Callithrix jacchus: one gene and its partners. The protein of the gene in region 1 interacts with the protein of each later gene in a biochemical or structural test. Links are inferred from orthologs where the notes say so. Each region holds a gene or a part of one and is shown in the gene's direction. Other genes may lie near its edges. The genes, in order: PATJ, PKP4, TJP3, CLDN1 and TANC1.

Evidence for each region.
Region 2: the proteins of PATJ (region 1) and PKP4 interact in a test that uses a peptide from one of them, tested with the Homo sapiens proteins (2 studies listed by IntAct, with this or other methods). The link is inferred for Callithrix jacchus from reciprocal best matches to the Homo sapiens genes PATJ and PKP4.
Region 3: the proteins of PATJ (region 1) and TJP3 form a complex in vitro, tested with the Homo sapiens proteins (2 studies listed by BioGRID and IntAct, with this or other methods). The link is inferred for Callithrix jacchus from reciprocal best matches to the Homo sapiens genes PATJ and TJP3.
Region 4: the proteins of PATJ (region 1) and CLDN1 form a complex in vitro, tested with the Homo sapiens proteins (2 studies listed by BioGRID and IntAct, with this or other methods). The link is inferred for Callithrix jacchus from reciprocal best matches to the Homo sapiens genes PATJ and CLDN1.
Region 5: the proteins of PATJ (region 1) and TANC1 interact in a test that uses a peptide from one of them, tested with the Homo sapiens proteins (2 studies listed by IntAct, with this or other methods). The link is inferred for Callithrix jacchus from reciprocal best matches to the Homo sapiens genes PATJ and TANC1.

What each region holds. Positions count from the first base shown.
Region 1 is NC_133508.1:98,823,899-98,827,911, forward strand, and holds the start of PATJ (inaD-like protein), read left to right. Parts: upstream 1-1,206; 5' UTR 1,207-1,282; intron 1,283-4,013.
Region 2 is NC_133507.1:71,436,689-71,440,785, reverse strand, and holds the start of PKP4 (plakophilin-4), read left to right. Parts: upstream 1-1,292; 5' UTR 1,293-1,613; intron 1,614-2,092; exon of another isoform or gene 2,093-2,229; intron 2,230-2,283; exon of another isoform or gene 2,284-2,692; intron 2,693-4,097. Other genes in the region: CCDC148 (coiled-coil domain-containing protein 148), read right to left, coding at 809-823, 1,108-1,138. UniProt on the Homo sapiens protein: Plays a role as a regulator of Rho activity during cytokinesis. May play a role in junctional plaques.
Region 3 is NC_133523.1:3,510,183-3,513,693, forward strand, and holds part of TJP3 (tight junction protein ZO-3), read left to right. Parts: intron 1-511; coding exon 512-620; intron 621-859; coding exon 860-1,097; intron 1,098-1,580; coding exon 1,581-1,792; intron 1,793-3,511. UniProt on the Homo sapiens protein: TJP1, TJP2, and TJP3 are closely related scaffolding proteins that link tight junction (TJ) transmembrane proteins such as claudins, junctional adhesion molecules, and occludin to the actin cytoskeleton.
Region 4 is NC_133516.1:19,268,498-19,272,687, reverse strand, and holds the start of CLDN1 (claudin-1), read left to right. Parts: upstream 1-1,381; 5' UTR 1,382-1,620; coding exon 1,621-1,843; intron 1,844-4,190.
Region 5 is NC_133507.1:70,955,618-70,959,567, reverse strand, and holds the start of TANC1 (protein TANC1), read left to right. Parts: upstream 1-1,139; 5' UTR 1,140-1,302; intron 1,303-1,687; exon of another isoform or gene 1,688-1,908; intron 1,909-2,108; exon of another isoform or gene 2,109-2,505; intron 2,506-3,950. UniProt on the Homo sapiens protein: May be a scaffold component in the postsynaptic density.

The sequences.
Region 1 (4,013 bases):
TCGATCTCTTGATCTCGTGATCCACCCGCCTCGGCCTCCCAAAGTGCTGGGATTACAGGCTTGAGCCACCGTGCCCAGCTCCCAAGTGTATGATTTTAAGTCTTTATGTTGCAGTTGTTTTGTACCTATTCCTCATCTTCCTGGGAACAGGGATGCCATTTTACACATCTTCCCAGAGTCAACCACAGTGTTTAACTATTACTGTATGTACTCTATAAGATACCTGAAGATTGATTCTCTTTATTGTTAATATGTGGACTGTATTAGAAACCCCTATCATCAAAAGTCTAAAGTTGGCCAGGCTTGGTGGCTCAGGCCTGTAATGCAAGCACTTTGGAGGCCAAGGCGGGAGAGTCACCTGAGGTCGGAGTTCAAGACCAGCCTGACCAATACGGTGAAAACCCGTCTTTAAAAAAAAAAAAAATTAAAAAAAAAGTCTAAAGTTATTAAAGGGAGTAGAAGAATACCATCGGGGCATATTTTTCTCGAAGCTGTGACATCACAAATAAAAAAAATTAATGTATAGTGAAATCGTCACTGTAGTTAAAGTCAAAATGCCTTGCCTGTGTTCCAAACTTTGGCCCAACCTACCTGGTGCACGGTTTCCTCATCAGTTTCTTCAGAGAGTAAATGAGATAATAAGGTATAATCTAGCAGCCAGCACAGGGCAGGCAAATACTGCTGGATGTGTTTCTTTCTTCCACTAAAGGAGAAGAAAATAATGCTCCCACATTTACACGTTTTAGAATATTTTATTTTGTGTCAGCGGATATAGAAAACAAAGGAGGGATGAGGGAACAGGAAAGAGCAAAAAGGCAAGTGCTAAGCAGATTGACCCAACGCTTTCATCGATATACTCCTCAATTTCCTTGATCTTGGGTCTCGCTTTCCAAGCATGCCTCCAACCACACCGGTCGGTCCGGATTTCCCTTCCTGTCAGTGCCAGCTGCCCCTACCACGCGGGGTCTCATCCGCCCACCTGGCCCCCATAGCCCACTCTTCTCAGGCCCTTGGCCATCCCGCGCCGGGTCGGAATTCACCTGCACTAAACAGCTAGGGCAACCGCCCTCCCGGCTGCAGCCTGCCTCCCGCGGCCCCCGGCTCCCTCGCCCGCCCCCCGCGCCACCCCGGCGCCCCGCCCCGGGCGGGGAGAGTCGGGGCGAGGGGAGGGCCTGCCAGGTGAGGCGCGGTCACCCTGGGCCTCTCACTTCCGCCCAGGTGAGGTACGGCCGACACCGAGCCGGCTGGGTCGGGGCTCCCACCTGCTCCTCCGGCACACCAGGTAAAGCGTGGGGTCCCGGCTGTGCGGTGCGCGCTTGTCCCTGGGGATCCCCGCGCCTAGAGGCCAGCGGGGGCCAGCTTCCTAGTGGGCTTCCCCGGCCTGCCTGCCCTGCCCCCGCGCGCTCTCCGCCCGCCCGCTGGAGCGGGTGGGAGCCGGAGGGGGAGGGCGCCGCTGGGCGCTCGGAGGTCCCTCGGAGGGGATGGGGCGTTCGCAGCGTGCGTCCGCACTGGCCCGGGAGGCGGGGCGGGGGTGCCTTCCTCCTGCGTCGGGCCCGGGTGACCCCAGTCCTGCCGCGCTGGGCTCGCTGAGGCCGCGGGTAGGGGCCCCGCCGCGCCGCCCCGCCCGCCCCGCCTCCCCAGGCCTTTCGGGCCTCGAATCTCGGCCCACTGGTGTTCGGGGGTGGCGCGGATCCGATTTTGCGCCCAGATCGGTGCCTGTGTTTCGCTCCCAGAGCTGGGCGGAGTCTTTCCCTCCATTGGTGGCCGTGGAAGGAAGGAACGGGGGTGAGGGGACAAAGAGGAGGGGGTGCTCAGAGCCGGGCTGAGGGGGCGACTTGGGCCGGGCCTTGGAGGTTCCCCAAAGCCAGTGCTCAAGCCCTGGGCTCTGCCAGCCCTGCTACGTAGATGGGGAGGTTGTGTTGGAAAGTGCTTCCGGCCTTAGGGGAATTCTTGGATTCCTGCTTTTAAATCAAGCTCAGGAAAGCATTTTCAGATGACTCCCAACCTCCAAATCGCCCCATCCATCCCGTACACCGGCCAAATTAAGTGAACAAACACCCTTCACCTGGCACTTTGTCATATTTCCAGGTGGCTCTTGTCACTTTGGATTCGAGTTTGTTGTTTGTTGGCTCGCCTCTGCCATTTGGAGGGTGCCCCCTTCTGGGCCTTATTTCTCGACTGCATTTAGGGTCTCGCTATTGGTAAGTGCTCGACAAGTGTTTCTTAAGTGAATGAAGAAGCCTTTGGAAACCCAGAAGGACTATGTCCGTTCCACTGAGGATGATACTACCACATTTTGGGCTGAGTTCCTAGTGGCTGCCAATTAATTTGCACACATCTATCTGAAAGGAGTGGGGGTGGGGTCAGCAGTTAAAAACGTAAATCTTCACGCCTGGAATCCCAACACTTTGGAAGGCTGAGGCTGGTGGATCACCTGAGGTCAAGAGTTCCAGAGTAGCCTGGCCACTATGGTGATACCCTGTCTCTACTAAAAGTACAAAAATTAGCTGGGCGTGTTGGTGGGCGCCCGTAATCTCAGCTACTCGGCAGGCTGAGGCAGGAGGCTGAGGTTGTGGTGAGCTGAGATTGCTCCATTACACTCCAGTCTGGGCGACCAGAGAGAAACTCCATCTCAAAAAACAGCAACAGGCCCTGTGCGGTGGCTCAAGCCTGTAATTCCAGCACTTTGGAAGTCAGAGGCGGGCAGATCACAAGGTCAGGATATCGAGAACATCTTGGCCAACACAAACCCTGTCTCTACTAAAAATACAAAAATTAGCTGGGCGTGGTGCGTATCTGTAGTCCCAGCTACTCTGGAGGCTGATGCAGGAGAATCGCTGAACCCTGGAGGCGGAGGTTGCAGTGAGCCAAGATCCCGCCACTGCCCTCCAGCCTGGGCAGCAAGAACAAACAAAACAAACTTAACTCTGTTTGCAGCATTAGAAAAATGTTAGGTGAGATTGAGCCTTTTAGCTAAAGTGAGCTTTGATTTTTTTAGGGTCCCGAATGGCCTTTAAGATGTTAACAAACAACAACAGAACACTCCAAATATGTTGAATTTATTTGTGAATGAGAAATGAGAATTATAGCCTGAGATGCACAACCATTTATTGGTTTTAGAGACTCAAAGCCATAGTTGACCATTGGTGAAGATGCCATTACTGGGCAGGTGTTATGGAGAGTGTCTTAACAGTTCTGGTGCCCTGCCTCATGCCTGTTATCTCAGCTACTTAGGAGGCTTAGGCAGGAGGATCCCTTGAGACCAAGAGTTGGAGACCAGCCTGTGCAACATGGCTGCCTTGACAGAAAACACTTTTTCAATGGCCAGGTATGTCAGGAGGTTGAGGCAGGAGGATTGCTTGAGCCCAGGAGATGGAGGCTGCAGTGAGCTGTGGTTGTACCACCACACTCCAGCCTGGGTGACAGAGCAAGAACCCTGTCTCAAAAAAAAAAAAAAAAAGAAAAGAAAAGAAAAGAAAAAGATTATCTTATCTTATCTGAATTACTGCATTCCTAAAGAAAGAATTTCTTGTGGAGTTATTTTAAAGTTCTTGAGAGATCTTTATCTCAGACATGCAAGCATGAGCCTTATCCCTCACTTTCTCCGTCTCTAGTTTGTTTGGGTGTGACAAAAAGTGATTTTGTCCTGGTGTCTGTAACTTTCACAAAGATAATAAGAAAGTTAATAAATATGGAAGTGGAAGATACTTATGGACAGAACTTATAAAATGAGTTCTGAAGAGATTTGCCCTTACTAGTCCAGATCCTATTAGGGGTAAGAAGAAAAGAAAACTTTTTCCTCTGCTCTCACGCCATCACAATCAACACTGAAGACTTCTGTGATCAAATAAATGTGTGGGCCAATCAGTTCTGCATCGAACAATAGCTGAGCATCTTCCAGTTCGATTCTGACACTATCTACCTGGGGATAGTGTCAGATCCCATTAAGACTGGTCCCACTTCTGATGCCAGTCACAAGTCCTAGATTGTTTTACCCTGGCTTCTGACTAACT
Region 2 (4,097 bases), on another chromosome or scaffold:
GGTCCCTCCAATGTGAGGTGCAGTAATATGTACATAGTCTCCTTACTAAAAAGATTAGTTGAAAAATAGTAAAATGACCAAAAAAAGGAACATAAGAATATCGGTGGTTATAGGCTAGAGCAATATCATATTTTAAAGCCTAATATGTTCATGAAATTTCACTTTAAGAAGGTGGTATCTAAATATAAAATTTATTGACAAAAAATTAGTATTGACAAACTAGCACAAGATTATTTTAAATGAAAGTAGAAGACATTATTAAAGCTCAAGATTTTTGTGTGTACTGATTTTCATGCCTCAGGTGATTTCTATATCAAATTTAAAGAGAACTGGAAAATAGAAAACAAAATCCATCAACTGTAATCCATTTCTCTTACTCTTTCGTGAAATCATCAGAAGGCATAAAGGATTGTTTCTGTTTCCTGTCTCTTTATCAAGCCTGTAACCCCTCAAGTGAAAGAACATGCACCTGTCAAGCTCGTAGTGCAGGATGTACACACAGATGTGTTTAATAGATATCTGCCCACGGGAAGATTAGAGGTTTGCTTTGAGAATCAGGGAACAGGCTATCTTATGTGGTGACGCTTTGGCATCTATCATACAATCCGTCACCTTCTCCCTTACCAAAATATCATCAAAGGAAATCCTCTTTGAGTCTTCTTTGAGAAGGGATATGAGTTTGAAGACCCAAAACGTTGAAACAAGACAGGAAAGGGGGAGTGGTTGCGGAGAACAAGCCCAAGTAGGATTCAAGTGGCTCAGTGACGTCAGGAGGAAGGAGCGATGGAAGGGATGGGGTGCAACTCACCTAGAGAAGCAGCAGCTGCACAAACGTCAAAGGTCAGAGCCTAGCCTCAGGGGCTCCCCAAACGCAGGAAAAGTGAAACGCCCACTCCTGGCTCTCACTGTCAGGGGTACGTCTAAGGGCTCAGCTGTTCCTACCTTTGATGCCAGGGACAAACCCTTCCAGGCACAGTTGGGGCTGGCAGGAAGGCAAAGTGAAACCTGCCCCAGATTTCAGAGCCAGCACTGGGGAATCTCCCTGTCCTCCTCTCCGCCACCCCCTCCCGCGCCCGCGACTTGAGACACCCTCATCCTCACACCCACCTTCTCCAGGCCCTCTCGCGCTGAACAGCATCGGTCTCTATGGCGACCTGAAACCGCAGCTCCTATTGGTCCGTTCAATATGAGGGCCGGGCCAATGGGGAGGACCAGCCCTCTCCTTCTGGCCAATGGGGTAGCGGAAGCAGGCCCGGGGACGGCGGCGTGCTGACGTTCCCGGGAGCCCGGGTCTGGCCGGGCGGGCTGGCGGCGGGGCGGGCGGCGGTGGCGGCGGCCTCTGGGCAGTAGAGGGGGCTCCGGGACTGAGTCCGCGTCGACGCCGGCCGCGGAGGCGGCACCATGGGCAAAGGGTAGAGGGGCAAGTTGGCCACCGCCGCCGCCGGGGGTGGTGGGATAGCCGCTCCGGGGGAGGGGGCGGGTGGGGGAGGGAGGGGCGGGCAGCCGCGCGGCCGCGGCACTTTTTTAATTTTTTTCGGGTGCCGCAGCGGCGACCCCTCGGCGCCGATGTCTGTGATTCCTGGAGCGACGACGGCCGCTGCCTAAGCTGGAAAGTAAGTGTGTGGGCTCGCGGGAGGGCGCGGAGACCCCTGCCGTTGAGACCCTCGGCCCTGCCGAACATGCGCCGGGGCCGGGACCTGCGCGCCGGAGGCCGGCGCCTCCCTCCCGCTGCCCCGTCCCCAGCGCCTCGGCGGCTTTCCTGCCCCGCCTCGTGTTCCTGCCCGCACTCGCCTGCTGCTCCCCTCCCCCCGGCAGGCACACAAGTTTCACCCTCCATTTGCTTTTTCCGGCGATTCCTCTCCTCGATCTCCCTTACGAGCCGCGCAGGACCCCTCTCCACGCTGGGCTCTACGGATTTGGAGCCCCCAGCCCCGAACTTGAGCTCCGCGCGGAGCCCTGCTGGACGCCCTCGCGGCGGCTTCCCCGCTGCCGCCCGCCCGGCGTGCCGCCCTGCGCCCCCGACACCCCGGGGCGCCCGCCCTCCCCAGCCCTCGAGACCAGCGGTCTGTCCTTCCAGCCCCAGATCCTGTACCTTGGCCCCTTTCCCGCCTTTCCACGCCCATGCTGCCGGCGCGCTCTTGCGTTTGCCCCCGAAGTCCTGCACTCCTAGTCGGTCCTGCCCACCCCCTCTGCCCAGTGCGTCCCTCTCTGCTGGCCGCCGATTTTCACGCTCCACCCCTCTCGGATCCCCAGCCCCTAGCCTCGCCGCTGCCCTCCTGCGCCGCCTCTTCCTCCTCTCCCTGCCAGGAGTTGAAGCGGAGCCGGGGCACCCCCCTGGTGGATTGGTATCCCCGCCCGCCTCCGAGGCAGCCGGCCCTCTCCCCTGGACCGCTACCCGGAGAGCGAGCGGCGGGGCCGGGATTTGGCTGCGTATTGGCTGAGTGCGACAAACCGCGAGCGCAGGCAGTGGAGGCGCCGCGGCGGCTGTGGCCGCTCGGGGCGCAGCGGTAGTCAGGTGTGTGTGTACAGCGGGGGACGCGCGCTGCCGGCTCCTGGGCTGGCGACAGATTGTGCAGGAATGCGAGGAATGCACCAGGGGCTGAGTCCACACGGCCCTCCGCGGCTACACTAGCGCCTTTCCTCCCCAGCTCTCGCCGCGCAGCCAGAGGTCACCGGAGCATCTTCAGAGCTGGTGAGCCTCATTCCACTCTTCTCCTCCCATTGCTTCCCTCCTTGCGGCAGAGAGGGTGGCGGAGGGAAAGCACGGTAGTTCTTTTGGGCTCCAGCTAGCCTTTCGTCTGGGTTTTTGCTGCATTGGTCTTCAGGACCGTGAATTTGGGGCCGATGACTGTGTAGCCAAGGTTATTGATCATTGCACAGCCTGTTTGCAAGTTTGGTGTGCAAGGATTAGATAGTGCCTGGTTTTTACTAGGGTTTTCTGAAAACCAGCAGGAATAGGGGGCCTGAAGGTTCTTGAGAGTAATGAGCTTGCAGCCAACATATTTTAGCTATACCAGAAAATGACTGTGCTAATGGATGGCCATGTACTGCAAGAAAGATCTTGAATGCATCACTTCGGTGTCCTAAGAAGTGTAATTTTTTTTCCTTGTCATACTGGGCTGTTTAGACCTCGTATAATACATAATGAATAGAAACAGAGAAGCAGTGTTTGGTCAGCGATGGGACAGATAGAACTGTCTGGTACAGTTAAATTCGGGGTGTGTCAGTTACCATTGAAAGTAACACGGGAACACCACAATCATGTGTATTTCAAGATGTAATTTATGAGTGGAGGTTTTAGTTCTCTTTGTTACTGAGTTTGACTAAAAGAAATGCTGCCCTACAACTTTTAAAGAATAGTAATTATTTACGTGTAAAATCGATGATGGTTAGTATGCATTTTGGTCAAATTTTGTTTTTCTCAATACAGGAAAGGAAATTTTTGACAGAAAATGGTTCGCTAGAATTGAGCTTAGATTCTTTTTATTTTAAAAGAGAAAGTAGAAGAATGCTTCCCTTCTTGAATGCAGTATATTGCTGTAGGAGTATCTTCGTTTTGATGTCTGTGAAACAGTTATGGAAAATGGCAACATGAGAATGAGAACAACTAATGTCTGAAATAAGTGTTTCTGGGTGTTGAAAAGCATCCTATGTGTGTTTTTATTTGATACAATTTGCTTTGGAGGTTGCATTTATGATAAATCTCTTTGCACCTGGTTATTTTGTAGCAGTTTCGGTAAAATAAGTCAGTTGTATGACCAATCAGCTGTCTTCCAACACCTACTTTGTCTAGATCAAGGACATTGAAAAGTATTAAATAGGAGCCTTTAGTTAAGGACTCAACAGAAAGGAAAAAATAGAAAAAAAAAAAATACTTTGCACTCTGAAAGGTTTATCTTTTGATTGCTACGTTGTTTTTCAGCTATGTGCATAATCAGTGAATCTTCTAATTAGAGGTTTAATTTGTGTCCACTAGCATGTGGAGGATATTGGGAGGTGTTTGTAAATGCCAACAGGAAACTTTTATTATGTAACAATATCATATTACAGCAGAGTTTAACCCATGCTTAACCTGTGCTTATTTGACTTGATGTCAA
Region 3 (3,511 bases), on another chromosome or scaffold:
ACGCTGAGAGCAGGTGGCTGTGTCTGTATATGGCTGTCCCTGTTGTGACACTGAGAGGTGGCTGCATCCCTATATTGTCCCTGTCATGACCTGATGGCAGGCATCTGTCACCCACCTTGTCCCTATGTATTTCCCTGTCACGACCCTGTGACTATGTCTGAACTCTTTCGAGCACTTCACACAATCTCCACCGAGCCGCATGCCATGACACCTGTTCCCATATTTTGATATCAACAACCTACAAAGACTTGATTACCAGAGGCCAGCGCAGTGCCTGTGCCCCCGTTTCTAGGTCAAAACCCCCTGTATCTTTATAATGCCACCAGCTGTGTCACATGTCACACAGCCACAGGGTGATGCCCCCATCAGAAAACCCTCCCGGAACTTCCGGGGCCCATGGCAGCTCTGGAAGCAGCCGGGGCTGGGTTTTGCCCAGAGGAAGGTCTAGGCTCTCATGCACAGCCAGGAGGTACCGGAGCCTCAGCGTACAGCTGTCCCTGCTTCCCGGCAGGTGAATGACGTGCCGTTCCAGAACCTGACCCGGGAGGAGGCGGTGCAGTTCCTGCTGGCGCTGCCACCAGGCGAGGAGATGGAGCTGCTGACACAGCGGAAGCAGGACAGTGAGTGCGCGTGGATGCGCGTGTGCCTGTGTGCTGGGGCAGCCCTGGCTGTGTGGCCTGATGGTGAGCGGAGTGCGATCAAAGCTGCATCTCTGCACCGTCCATCCCTCTCCTGACCACTGCAGGGAGAGTGTCCCAAGTCTCCCCAGGGCAGGGTCCCTCCCTCCAGGCCTACTGTGCGGGGAGGGCTATGAGCAGGCAGCAGCCAGACAGCTCACGTGGCCGCCTCCTCTCCCCAGTCTTCTGGAAAATGGTGCAGTCCCGCGTGGGCGACTCCTTCTACATCCGCACGCACTTTGAGCTGGAGCCCAGCCCGCCGTCCGGCCTGGGCTTCACCCGTGGTGACGTCTTCCACGTGCTGGACACACTGTACCCGGGCCCCGGGCAGAGCCACGCGCGAGGAGGCCACTGGCTGGCGGTGCGCATGGGTCGTGACCTGCGGGAGCAAGAGCGGGGCATCATTCCCAACCAGAGCAGGTGGGGACCTTCCCGCCTCTGCCTCAGCCTCCCCGTTAGAAACGGGCACGCTGGCCCTGCTGAGCAGTGTGGCTGGCTCACTCTGAGGACATCCACAAAAGGCACGGGGTGGGACCCAGTTGGTTGATGCTGGTATGAGCTTCCTGTTCTGCTGTAACAGAAGCCCAGAAACAAGGGCCGGGCACAGCAGCTCACGCCTGTAATCCCAGCTTCTCGGGAGGCTGAGGCAGGAGAATCACTTGAACCCAGGAGGCGGAGGTTGCGGTGAGCTGAGATTGTGCCACTGCACTCCAGCCTGGGTAACAGAGCAAGACTTTGTCTCAAAAAAACCAAAATAAATAATAATAAAATAATAATCTCATCTGCGAAGTCCCTTTTGCCATATGAAGTAGCCAGTCCACAGGTTCCCGGGGGGATGAGGACGTCTTTGGGGCCATCGTGCTGCTGACCCCAGTGCCCAGCACTGTCCCCTCTTCTCCACAGGGCGGAGCAGCTGGCCAGCCTGGAAGCTGCCCAGAGGGCCGTGGGAGCCGGGCCCGGTTCCTCCGCGGGCTCCAATGCTCGGGCCGAGTTCTGGCGGCTGCGGGGCCTCCGTCGAGGGGCCAAGAAGACCACTCAGCGGAGCCGCGAGGACCTCTCAGCCCTGACCCGCCAGGGCCACTACCCGCCCTATGAACGAGTGGTACTTCGAGAAGGTGGGGCCCGGGCGGGAGGGGGCCCTGGGAAGGTTCCACGCAGAGGCAGTGGCGCACCTGTTCACCAGCATCCGGCCTCTAAAAGGCAGTCTTGTAGAGTGGAGGCTCACGCCTATAATCCTAACACTTTGGGAGGCTGAGGAAGGAGGATCACTGAGACCAGGAGTTCCAGAGTAGCCTGGGCCCTAAAGCAAGACTGCATCTCTCCATCACATTTATAAAGACAGCTGGGCGTGGTGGGGCCTCCCTGCAGTCCCAGCTATCCCGGCCGCTCAGGAGGCTGAGGCAGGAAGATCGCCTGAGCCAGGAGGGTGAGGCTACAGTGAGCTGTGACTGCGTGACTACATTCCAGCCTGGGCCACAGATTGACAAAGAAAAGAAAGAGAAGGACAGAAAGAGAGACAGACAGAGAGAGAAAGAAAAGAAGGGAGGGAGAGAGGGAAGGAGGGAGGGAAGGAAGGAGAAAAGGAAGGAAAGAAAAGAAAGAAGGAAAAAGAAAGGAAGAGAAAGAGAAGGAATTTCTAACCACTCTCCTTCTATCAAAACTACTACTCTGGGGCCAGGCACAGTGGCTCACACTTGAAATCTCAACGGTTTGGGAGGCCGAGGTGGGCGGATCTCCTGAGGTCAGGAGTGTGAGACCAGCCTGGCCCCCATGGTGAAACCCCATCTCTGCTAAAAATACAAAAAATGAGCTAGTGGCCGGTGCCTGTCATCCCAGCTACTCAGGAGGCTGAGGCAGAAGAATCAGTTAAACCCAGGAGGCGGAGGTTGCGGTGAGCTGAGATCGTGCCATTGCACTCCAGCCTGGGCAACAAGAGCAAAACTCCACGTCAAACAAACAAACAAACAAACAAAAAAAGCAGAAAACTTTTGGGTTATTTTAGGGGACAGAAGGAGACAGGAAGGGGTTTCACTCCTTAAAAATCTACTTGTGGGCCGGGCATGGTGGCTCAAGCCTGTAATCCCAGCACTTTGGGAGGCCGAGGCGGGTGGATCACGAGGTCAAGAGATCGAGACCATCCTGGGCAACATGGTGAAACCCCGTCTCTACTAAAAATACAAAAAATTAGCTGGGCACGGTGGCACGTGCCTGTATTTCCAGCTACTCAGGAGGCTGAGGCAGGAGAATTGCCTGAACCCAGGAGGCGGAGGTTGCGGTTAGCCGAGATCGCGCCATTGCACTCCAGCCTGGGCAACAAGAGTGAAACTCCATCTCAAAAAAAAAAAAATAAATTTGTCTCCACAGAAATAAGATTCAAGGCACGTATATAGCCTTTAGAAAGGAAAAAGCAATAGCGGTAACAGTCTTTTAATAATTTACCTTCTTTGGCTGGTCGTGGTGGCTGATGCCTGCAATCCCAGCGCTTTGGGAGGAGGAGGCGGGCGGATCACCTGAGGTCAGGAGTTCGAGACCAGCCTGGCCATCATGGTGAAACCCCGTCTCTACTAAAAATACAAAAAAATTAGCCGTGTGTGGTGGCGCGTGCCTGTAGTCCCAGCTACTCAGGAGGCTGAGGCAGGAGAATTGCTTGAACCCAGGACGGGGAGGTTGCAGTGAGCCGAGTCTGCGCCACTGCACTCCAGCCCGGGTGACAGAGCGAGGCGAGACTCCATCTGGAAAGAAAACATCCACAACAGCAACGGAAAAGCAACCCAGGTGCAGCAGATTTTCAAAATAAAGCCACAGAAGCGGGGTGGGAGCAGCAAGCTGCCTGG
Region 4 (4,190 bases), on another chromosome or scaffold:
CTGTCTTACATTCTTCATTGCTTGTCCCCAAATCCTAGTATGGCCAAGTTCTTTAGCTATAAGCTGTCCCAAAAGGCATCCAGAGAGCGCCAGGTGGAAATGACAGGAGGGCTTGGCCTTGCCTCCCATTCCCATCTTGAGCATTCGCGCTTTTCCTTCTCTGTCACTAACTAGCAGCTGCCCATGGTATACAAGGGTGGATCTTTTTTTCTCCTTCATATGTTTATCTCTGCCTCTAAGGATCTTCTGCTTTTACTAAAACCACAGAAGCTTCCCCTCCCACCACACTCGCACCACACACAAAAAGCAGTTGGAAAAACATTTCAATTATTCCCAACCACAGCAGCACTTCTGACTAACTGCAAAGAAGGAAGCTTTAGAGACCCTAGAGGAAAACAAACATCCCAGAGAGACCAAAAAGGGAGGGGTGGCATACCCAGTTGCAGTGAAAGCCAGAACTTCCTAAAAGCCCGGCCCTCCTAAACTCCAGCGCAGTCTTTTCTCCACTGGGGAAGCACTGTTTACATGCCCTCACCTGTGACAAACAACATTTGGTAATTCACAAAATTAACACCTTTGAGGGAGAGCGGACCACTGGCCAAGTCCCTCTGATAATGAATTGCTGCTATAAGACATAACTGCTGTGGGGAAGAGGTTGGTGTTTGGCAGGCGAGGGCTGCTAGGCTGCATTTTCGTAAGGGCAATAATACATCAAAAGGACAATCACAGATCAAAGGGCATATTTTTGGGTCAATTTGGTATGTGGTGGAAAGCAGATTGGGAGGGGAGCCAAGTACTGATATGCTCGTGTGTGTGTGTGTGCGCGCGCGCGCGTGGATCATGTTGCTCTCTGGGTCTCAGCTTCCCAATCTGTAGAGTGTATAGATCTCTGGGGGCCGTCGGAGAGACAAGTGATGGAAAGAGCTTGACAGAAGGGGGCAGGGGAAAGGAGAAAGGGGAGGAAGCTGAGCAAAGGAGAGAGAAATGTATGTGAGATGCGGGAGGAGATGCGGAGTTGGGTAGACATGTCTTTCAATAAGATATTGGGAAAAAGTATTAAAGCTAAAACCGCAGCTCTTGAGGGCTCATTTCTTCATCGTTGTTTTTAGGATTTACAGGTACAGTGCATAGTAATTTTTGGATGATTGGAGTGAGTGAATGAAAAGCGTGAAACTCCTGACAGGAGCGAGGAGATCCACGAGAGAAAGGAGCAGCGACGCAGCTCTGGTGCCTGGTCCTGCGGGGAGGTCCCCACACCGCCCGCAGCGCGTTCCCCCCGCCCCCTCCCGGTGAGCCGCCCCGAAACCGCCAGGGGGCGCTCCCCGGCTGCAGGGCTGAGGCGGGCGGAGCTGATTTAAATCGCGGCGCCCAGCGGTTTGGCGTCTCAGTTCCTGAGCTCGGGAGCAACCGCAGCTTCTAGTACCCAGACTCCAGCGCCGCCCCGGACCCGGACCCCGACCCGGACCCAGAGCTTCTCCAGCGGCTGCGCAGCGAGCTGGACTCCCCGCCTTAACTTCCTCCGCGGGGCCGGGTCACCTTCGGGAGTTCGCGTTGCGCACCTGCAAACTCTCCGCCTTCTGCACCTGCCACCCCGAGCCAGCGCGGGCGCCCGAGCGAGTCATGGCCAACGCGGGGCTGCAGCTGCTAGGCTTCATTCTCGCCTTCCTGGGATGGATCGGCGCCATCGTCAGCACTGCCCTGCCCCAGTGGAGGATTTACTCCTATGCCGGAGACAACATCGTGACCGCCCAGGCCATGTACGAGGGGCTGTGGATGTCCTGCGTGTCGCAGAGTACCGGGCAGATCCAGTGCAAAGTCTTTGACTCCTTGCTGAATCTGAACAGTGAGTGCACCCCCACCTCACAGCCGCCGTCCAGAGGCCCCAGTCCCCCTGCCGTTCCCTTATGGGCTCATTCTGTCGTGTGATTACATGGTTATCAGTCTGGAGTTGATCAAGTCTTCTGATGACGTGCTCTGTCATAAGCAAATGCGAATCCTGGTTTGAGACAAGGGATGCCCAGGCATAAGCTCTAGTGTTGCCTCTAACTCCCTAGGTGGCACTTTTCTGCCACACTAGGTGTGGCTTCATCTGAAATTCCTATGCTGGTGGGTCGAGATTGAGAGAGTGAAGGCCAGACTTGAACTTGAGCTCTTAGGCCTCTCCTAGACATGCTCCTGGTAACTACTCAGGTGTGCAAGCTTAAAAATCCTCAAGTATTAGATCGATTTTTTAATCTTTACTATGATTTTTCATAGCAAAAGTTACATCCCTACTTGAAATATCCTATCTAAGTGTCTGCTACTCATACTTCAGGTTGATTCTTTCCATTTTTAAGATTCAGTTAGTGCAGCGAGGCCTCTTGCAAGACTCCTTGGAGAAGCCACTTGAGTTTCCCACAAAGTTTTAACTTTTAGACCCAACGTCTTCAGTAGAGTCTGATTGTGTAGTGCTATCTTGGAATGAAAAGGTTGGTGGCAGGTGGCAGAAGCCAGACAAGAAAGGTTCGAAATAACCTGCCCAACATAATACAAAGGGGAAAGTAAAGACACTGAAGGGAAATGCAGCAAAATAGTCACAGCTGATGAAATGAGAGGTCAGCTGGGAGCAGGAGGCAGTGAGAAAGAAAGAAGAGGTGCGTCTTTCAGGTTTCCATCTTCCACAAAGGAATTTCTGTGCCATGGATGTTCAGTGACCCCTTGTCAAGTTGGAAAGGACTGTATAGAGAGACATATTTCTAAGCATGGTGGAAGAAGGATAATAGGATCTTTGTTTTTACATATGTTTTTTAAATTAAAGGTTTTGAGTGTATTGTCAGAAAAATCGTTAAATACCCATTTACTTAGGTAATAATGATTCACTGCTGGAGTATCTTCCTTGAGAAATCACATTAATTGTCTTATATCATATGTTTGTTATTCCCTTCAACTAACTTGAAGAAAAGGTCCCTCAGTCTTTGCCTAGATAAACATGACTGCCCACTGGCCCCCATGGAGTGCTAAGGGTAAGAAGTGTTGCCATTGTTCAAGTTTACTTAACTTGTTTTGTTCACCTCCTATCAAAGAACAACTTTTAATAGGGTATGTCAAAAGCTGTATAGTTTAGTTATTAAGCCTGTTCCAAATCTGTTTAAACACCTTGAGTACCTGTGGCATTTGCTCAATGTGCATGGTCGTTTTGAGTGTTATTTCAGCTTTTGAAGGTTTCCATATTAGGACTTCTTTAAACCAAAACCAATCTATAATTTTGGTAATTATGTGTTGCTTATTGCCCTCATAGGTTGTATTTGTATTTATAAAGTGAAAAATTTGGCAATAATTATTGAATTTCTCCATGGAAAGATAAGTATATTTAAGGAAATGGTGTCGGGCATTTTAGGTACCACATGAAGGAATTGGAGGCTGGAGAAGTTTCTAAGAACAATTCCAGAGAGGTCTCACTCTCAGTTTCATTGCTCTGGTCAAAATAGTCCATTTTTGACATCTTAAAATAGGTTTTCCTTTAACTTCCTTAAATAAACAAATGAAATCAGATTGATCCATGTTGTAAGTATTCAAATGGATCATCCTTACATGATAATGTGTTAAAACATTTTGCTTTCATTTTTTGGATAATATAGTTATTAAAGTTTTTAAAACTGTGGTGAAAGGACTAAATATCTATCCCCCCACACACACAATTTAGAGATGTCTTCCTTTTTTTTTTTTTAAATTCCAGATCAGAATCCACTTTTGTTTTACTGAAAGCCATAATTTATCCAAGGTGTGGCTTAGGCTTTTCTCTCAAAACCAATTCTCGGAAGAGAGACCCTTGACTCACAGGTTCTCTCTCCTAACCTGCCATGACTCACTGGATGCTTTTGGATGGAGCCCAGGAAACTTTTCTCCATTCCTCTGCCTGAGCAGTGGTGTTCACGCCCACTAGCTGTAGAGATCTAGGGTGGTGATTCATTGGCTGCTTTTGGTATAGTTTTGTTACATCTAGAGAGGAAAAGGGTTATGTGTGCATATTTAAGCTGTATCCCTCATAAAAAAGCTGCATTTCCTTGAGTGTCTTTAGGTGAAAAGCTTAGCTGTTGGTTTCCTGGAATTGTACCTTGCTGTCTTTCCCAGTAGAGCACACTTGATGTCTTAGAGTACAGATGCAGGGTTTTATCAAGGCTTTAGCACTGGAAGTATTAAAATATCTTGAT
Region 5 (3,950 bases), on another chromosome or scaffold:
TTTAAAGGCGGGTTTGCCACAGCAAGGTTAGGGGTTGCCAATAAATCAGTTTATAGCAACTTCTCTGTTCTCTGCTCCAACACACCTGTGGGGCGACCCGTGCACAATTCCCGCTGGCCACACAAGGCAGCGATAGTTCTAGTTTATCCTTCCTTGATCAACTAGATCAACGAAGGGTGGCTGAGAGAGCTTCGGGTATGAAGTGGGCTGAGTCCTCTAGGCCAATTTAGCTGCCTGGGATTCCTGGGAGAATCCTGGAGAACCCAGGACACTCGAATCCCTGGGATCTATCCTGGTTTTTGCTCCGCTGGAGAATAACAAAACATTTGGGGAACTCAGGAGTTTAATTTACTGCCACCAACCGACAAAATAATAGCATCTTTGTGTGTTCTCTCCCCTCCGTCCCTCCCACCTCCTTCCGACAGAAGCATGACGCTGGCCCTCTGTGGATGGAGCGCAGACCGCACGGGTCAGCCCAGAGCGGTCGCAGGAAGCTCCAGACCCCGGGCCCCAGAGACGCCGGGGAAATTACCGGTTCCAGAACGCCCCCCCATTAGCCTTCGGGAAAGAAAAAGACGCAGCCAGAGAGATGCCTTCTTAGACCTTCCAGCTCATTTAGCTCATTCTGGCCCCAGAAAGTGTGTTTGTGTTTAGTTAAGTGAGGCAGAGAAAATCCAAGAAAGCAGCACAAGCCACCCTAAAGCGTCCAAGGAAACTCCCAACTCGGTTAATTGCTCCCATACGTCCTCCTCCGCTGTGGTAAAAAAGCAGCGAGGAGGCAAGGCTGGGTCGCTTTACTGATTTTGAAGAAGCGGTAAAAAAGACTATTGCCCATCTCATTACGGTCCCGGAGGGGTCCAGGCTCAGCCCCGGGGGACCCGCTGCCCCGAGGGACGGTAGGGAGCCTCCGGCCGGGACGAAGTGCTGAGAGGCGGAACAAGGGGGCCCAACGCCGGAGACCCGCGGAAAGTTCGCGCGCCGCTCCCCAGCGGCTCCTTGGAACCGCCGCAGGCCGGGGCGGGGAGGGGCGCGGGAGGCGCGGCCGGGGCGGGCGCGCGAGAGGAAGGTGCCTTCGGGAACACGCGCAAGGGCGGAGATTCGCGCTGCCAATGAGGCCCCGGTGTGGGCCGAGCGAGGCTGGGGGACGGGCCGGAGCACAGGCTTTGCTGTGGCAGCTGCGGGAGCGGCGGGCGCCTCGGTAGCCAGAGGAGAGGCAGCCGCGGAACGCCGAGCTGACCGCGCCCCGAGGCCCGGCCCTGGGAGTGGGGAAGCGCGCCAAGGAGCTGGAAACTTTCCCGGCAGGTAACTACCGCCGTCCGCGCGCCGCGGCGGGCTTCCGAACGCCCCGGGCAGGGCCAGCTGCGTGGGTGAGGAGAGAAGAGGGTACCGCGGAGGAGAGGGTGATGGGAGAAGGAAAGGCGTGTGGGAAAGTTTCTGGAGCGCCCCCTCCTCCGCCGGGCACACCCGGGAGCTTTCCGGGGATAGGCACAGACATGTTGGGCGCCCCGGGCCTTGGTCTCTGGAGAGTCCTCACCTTCCCTGCGCGGTCCCCCCCTCCCCCTTGCGCCGGACCGAGCCGGCCTCCAGTGGAACCGGGGTAGGGGGAGCAGGGAACGCTCGGGGCACGCTCGAGTTTTGGTACCACCCCCGCTCGGCGCGCCTGCTCACCCCCTTTCCCGCCTTCTCTGTAGCCTTTGGGCTTGGCAAGGGCCTGGTCTATGCCTGGTACCTGGTGCGGGGGGAGGCGGGAGGGGAGGTGCGCTGGGCACCGCAGGGTCCTGGGCGCTCCTCGGAGTGTTGGGGTGCGCCAGTCGCGAAGTTGCCGAGAGAACTTAAGCCGGGGGCATCGTATTGCCCCAGTCAGGGCTGAAAATCTGCTGCTTTGCTTCCAGGAACACTGAGATGACGGTATCCACACTCCTTTATTGGGGGTGGGGGTGAGTTAGGATTAGACATTGAGGGTTTTCTTTGGGGATGGGGCGCTGAGGAAAGCGAGAATGGTCAAGATTATGAGCCCGCTTGTTCTTGGATGCAGAGTGGTCATTTTAGGGGGACGATATCGGGGCGCTCGCTTCCTGGAGGACTTTAGGGTGCGGGCGCGCGGCGCTGTGTGCGCTCGGCTCCAGGCTTCGGCGCGGCGGCTTTCCGGAACGCTGGCTGGGAAGGAAGCTGTAAGCATTGTGTGGCGTGTTTGCAGACAGAAAGGTCCCTGGACCGGCGTTCTTAAAACTTAGTGGACTTATTGTGTAAAGCTCTGGGAGGAAATGTGGCGTTGGCCAGGTAGAAACCCGGCGATGCGGCCAAGGGGCGGAGGACGCCGGGCTCGGCGACAGCCTTCTCCCAGCCCCCTCCGGCCCGCTCCTGGCAGCCCCAGATCCCGGTGCCTCTAGTGTTGGGACCGTTCTCAGTGGCATTGTTCCCTGCTGGAGTTAACGTGGGAGATGAGGAGGGCACCTTCATCTTGAACTTGACCCCAGAATCGGCGTTGTCCGTACAGATTACACGGTAAATGGAAGCTGAGTCTTGACGTGGGTTGGACCTCAAACTCTGGCTGGCGCGGAAAGGAAGTTCCTGGTTCAGAATCTTGAGGAAAGGGCTCAGGAGTGCTGAGATCGTTTTCCCTGGAAATGCCAGACGTACCAGACTGCAGAAGTTAACGCGTGTTTGGAGGGGTGGGGGTGCGAGAGTAAAGAAGAAACCTGGTTAGTTGGCACAGAGAGTTGATATTTCTCTGTAGTGGAAATGAAGGGAGTCTGCGTCTCTGCTTTCACCAGATCCGCTACTCTCTTTTTTTCCTTCCTGGGTCATCTTTATTCCTGCCAGGCTGGCACTCCTGGGGCAGGGGAGGGGAAGGAGAAGAAAGCAGTTGTGAAGCTTCTCGGGTCAGCCTGGAGGTATTTCGTATCTGCTGCTAGGAAGATTCCAGGATTTTAACAGCTGCTTCTTGATTGCTGGGAATGAAAGAATTTATGAGCGGCTGAGAGGTGTTCATTGTAGAAGTAGTCTGAATGTTTTACTTATCTAAGCTTCTTAAAGACCTCACAAGGGACCTTCCCTAGAGTATGCCAGTTTCTGCAGTTTATATCAGCCGGAATGCTTGGTGTGTATCAGTCAAAAAGGATCATAAATATATCCTGGTGGTTCTGAAATGAAAAGTAAATGGCAGTAAAGGAAGTATGATATCTGATATCCTTCAGGACTTCCTCCTAGGGGTGTTCCTGTTACCTGTCAAGTGAACTTGGTCCAGGCTTCCGGACTGTTGTGATTTGACAATAGGAGATGGGAAATAGTGTCATCGATTTTAGTGGAGGCAGGAAAAGTCCACAAATAAATTTAAGGTGCCTTTTTTTGACCCTGTCTTGCACTTTGGTGCCCCAAACTTAACTTTTTGGCACCAAGCCTTTGGTTTGAAGCGTTGCTAGAACTTGGAAGCAATGGTTTTCCTGCTTTCTTGGTTTAACCACCAGAATGCCCAAATTATCATAATTTATACCCATCCTTGATCTAAGACATAACTGATTCATAGTCAGCTTTTTTCTGCTTCTCATAACAGTCTGTAGAAAAAAGAACATTTTGTCTCTTTAACCACACAGAATTTATTTGGGGCCATAGTAGTTTTTGACTCTGGGTGATTGAGGGCATAATTTTAGAGACAATGAAGCTGTCTGAATTAAATTGTCCATTTTTAGGCAACATTCTCTTCTGAGTTGCTGATTAATCCTTTATCTCTCTGGGAACATTAAAACCAGCATCCCTTGGCCAATTGAATGATAATCCATATTATAATGACTCCTGCCAGCATAGCTGGAGGTTAACTTTATGTCAATGTTCCCATTAGACATTTTTAACCCAATTGTAAACATTTTGTCTCAGTTGGGTCAAGAGTCTCCTAGAAAAATAAATGGCTTTAATTTTATCTTTATGATAGTTTAACTTCTGTTACAGGAATA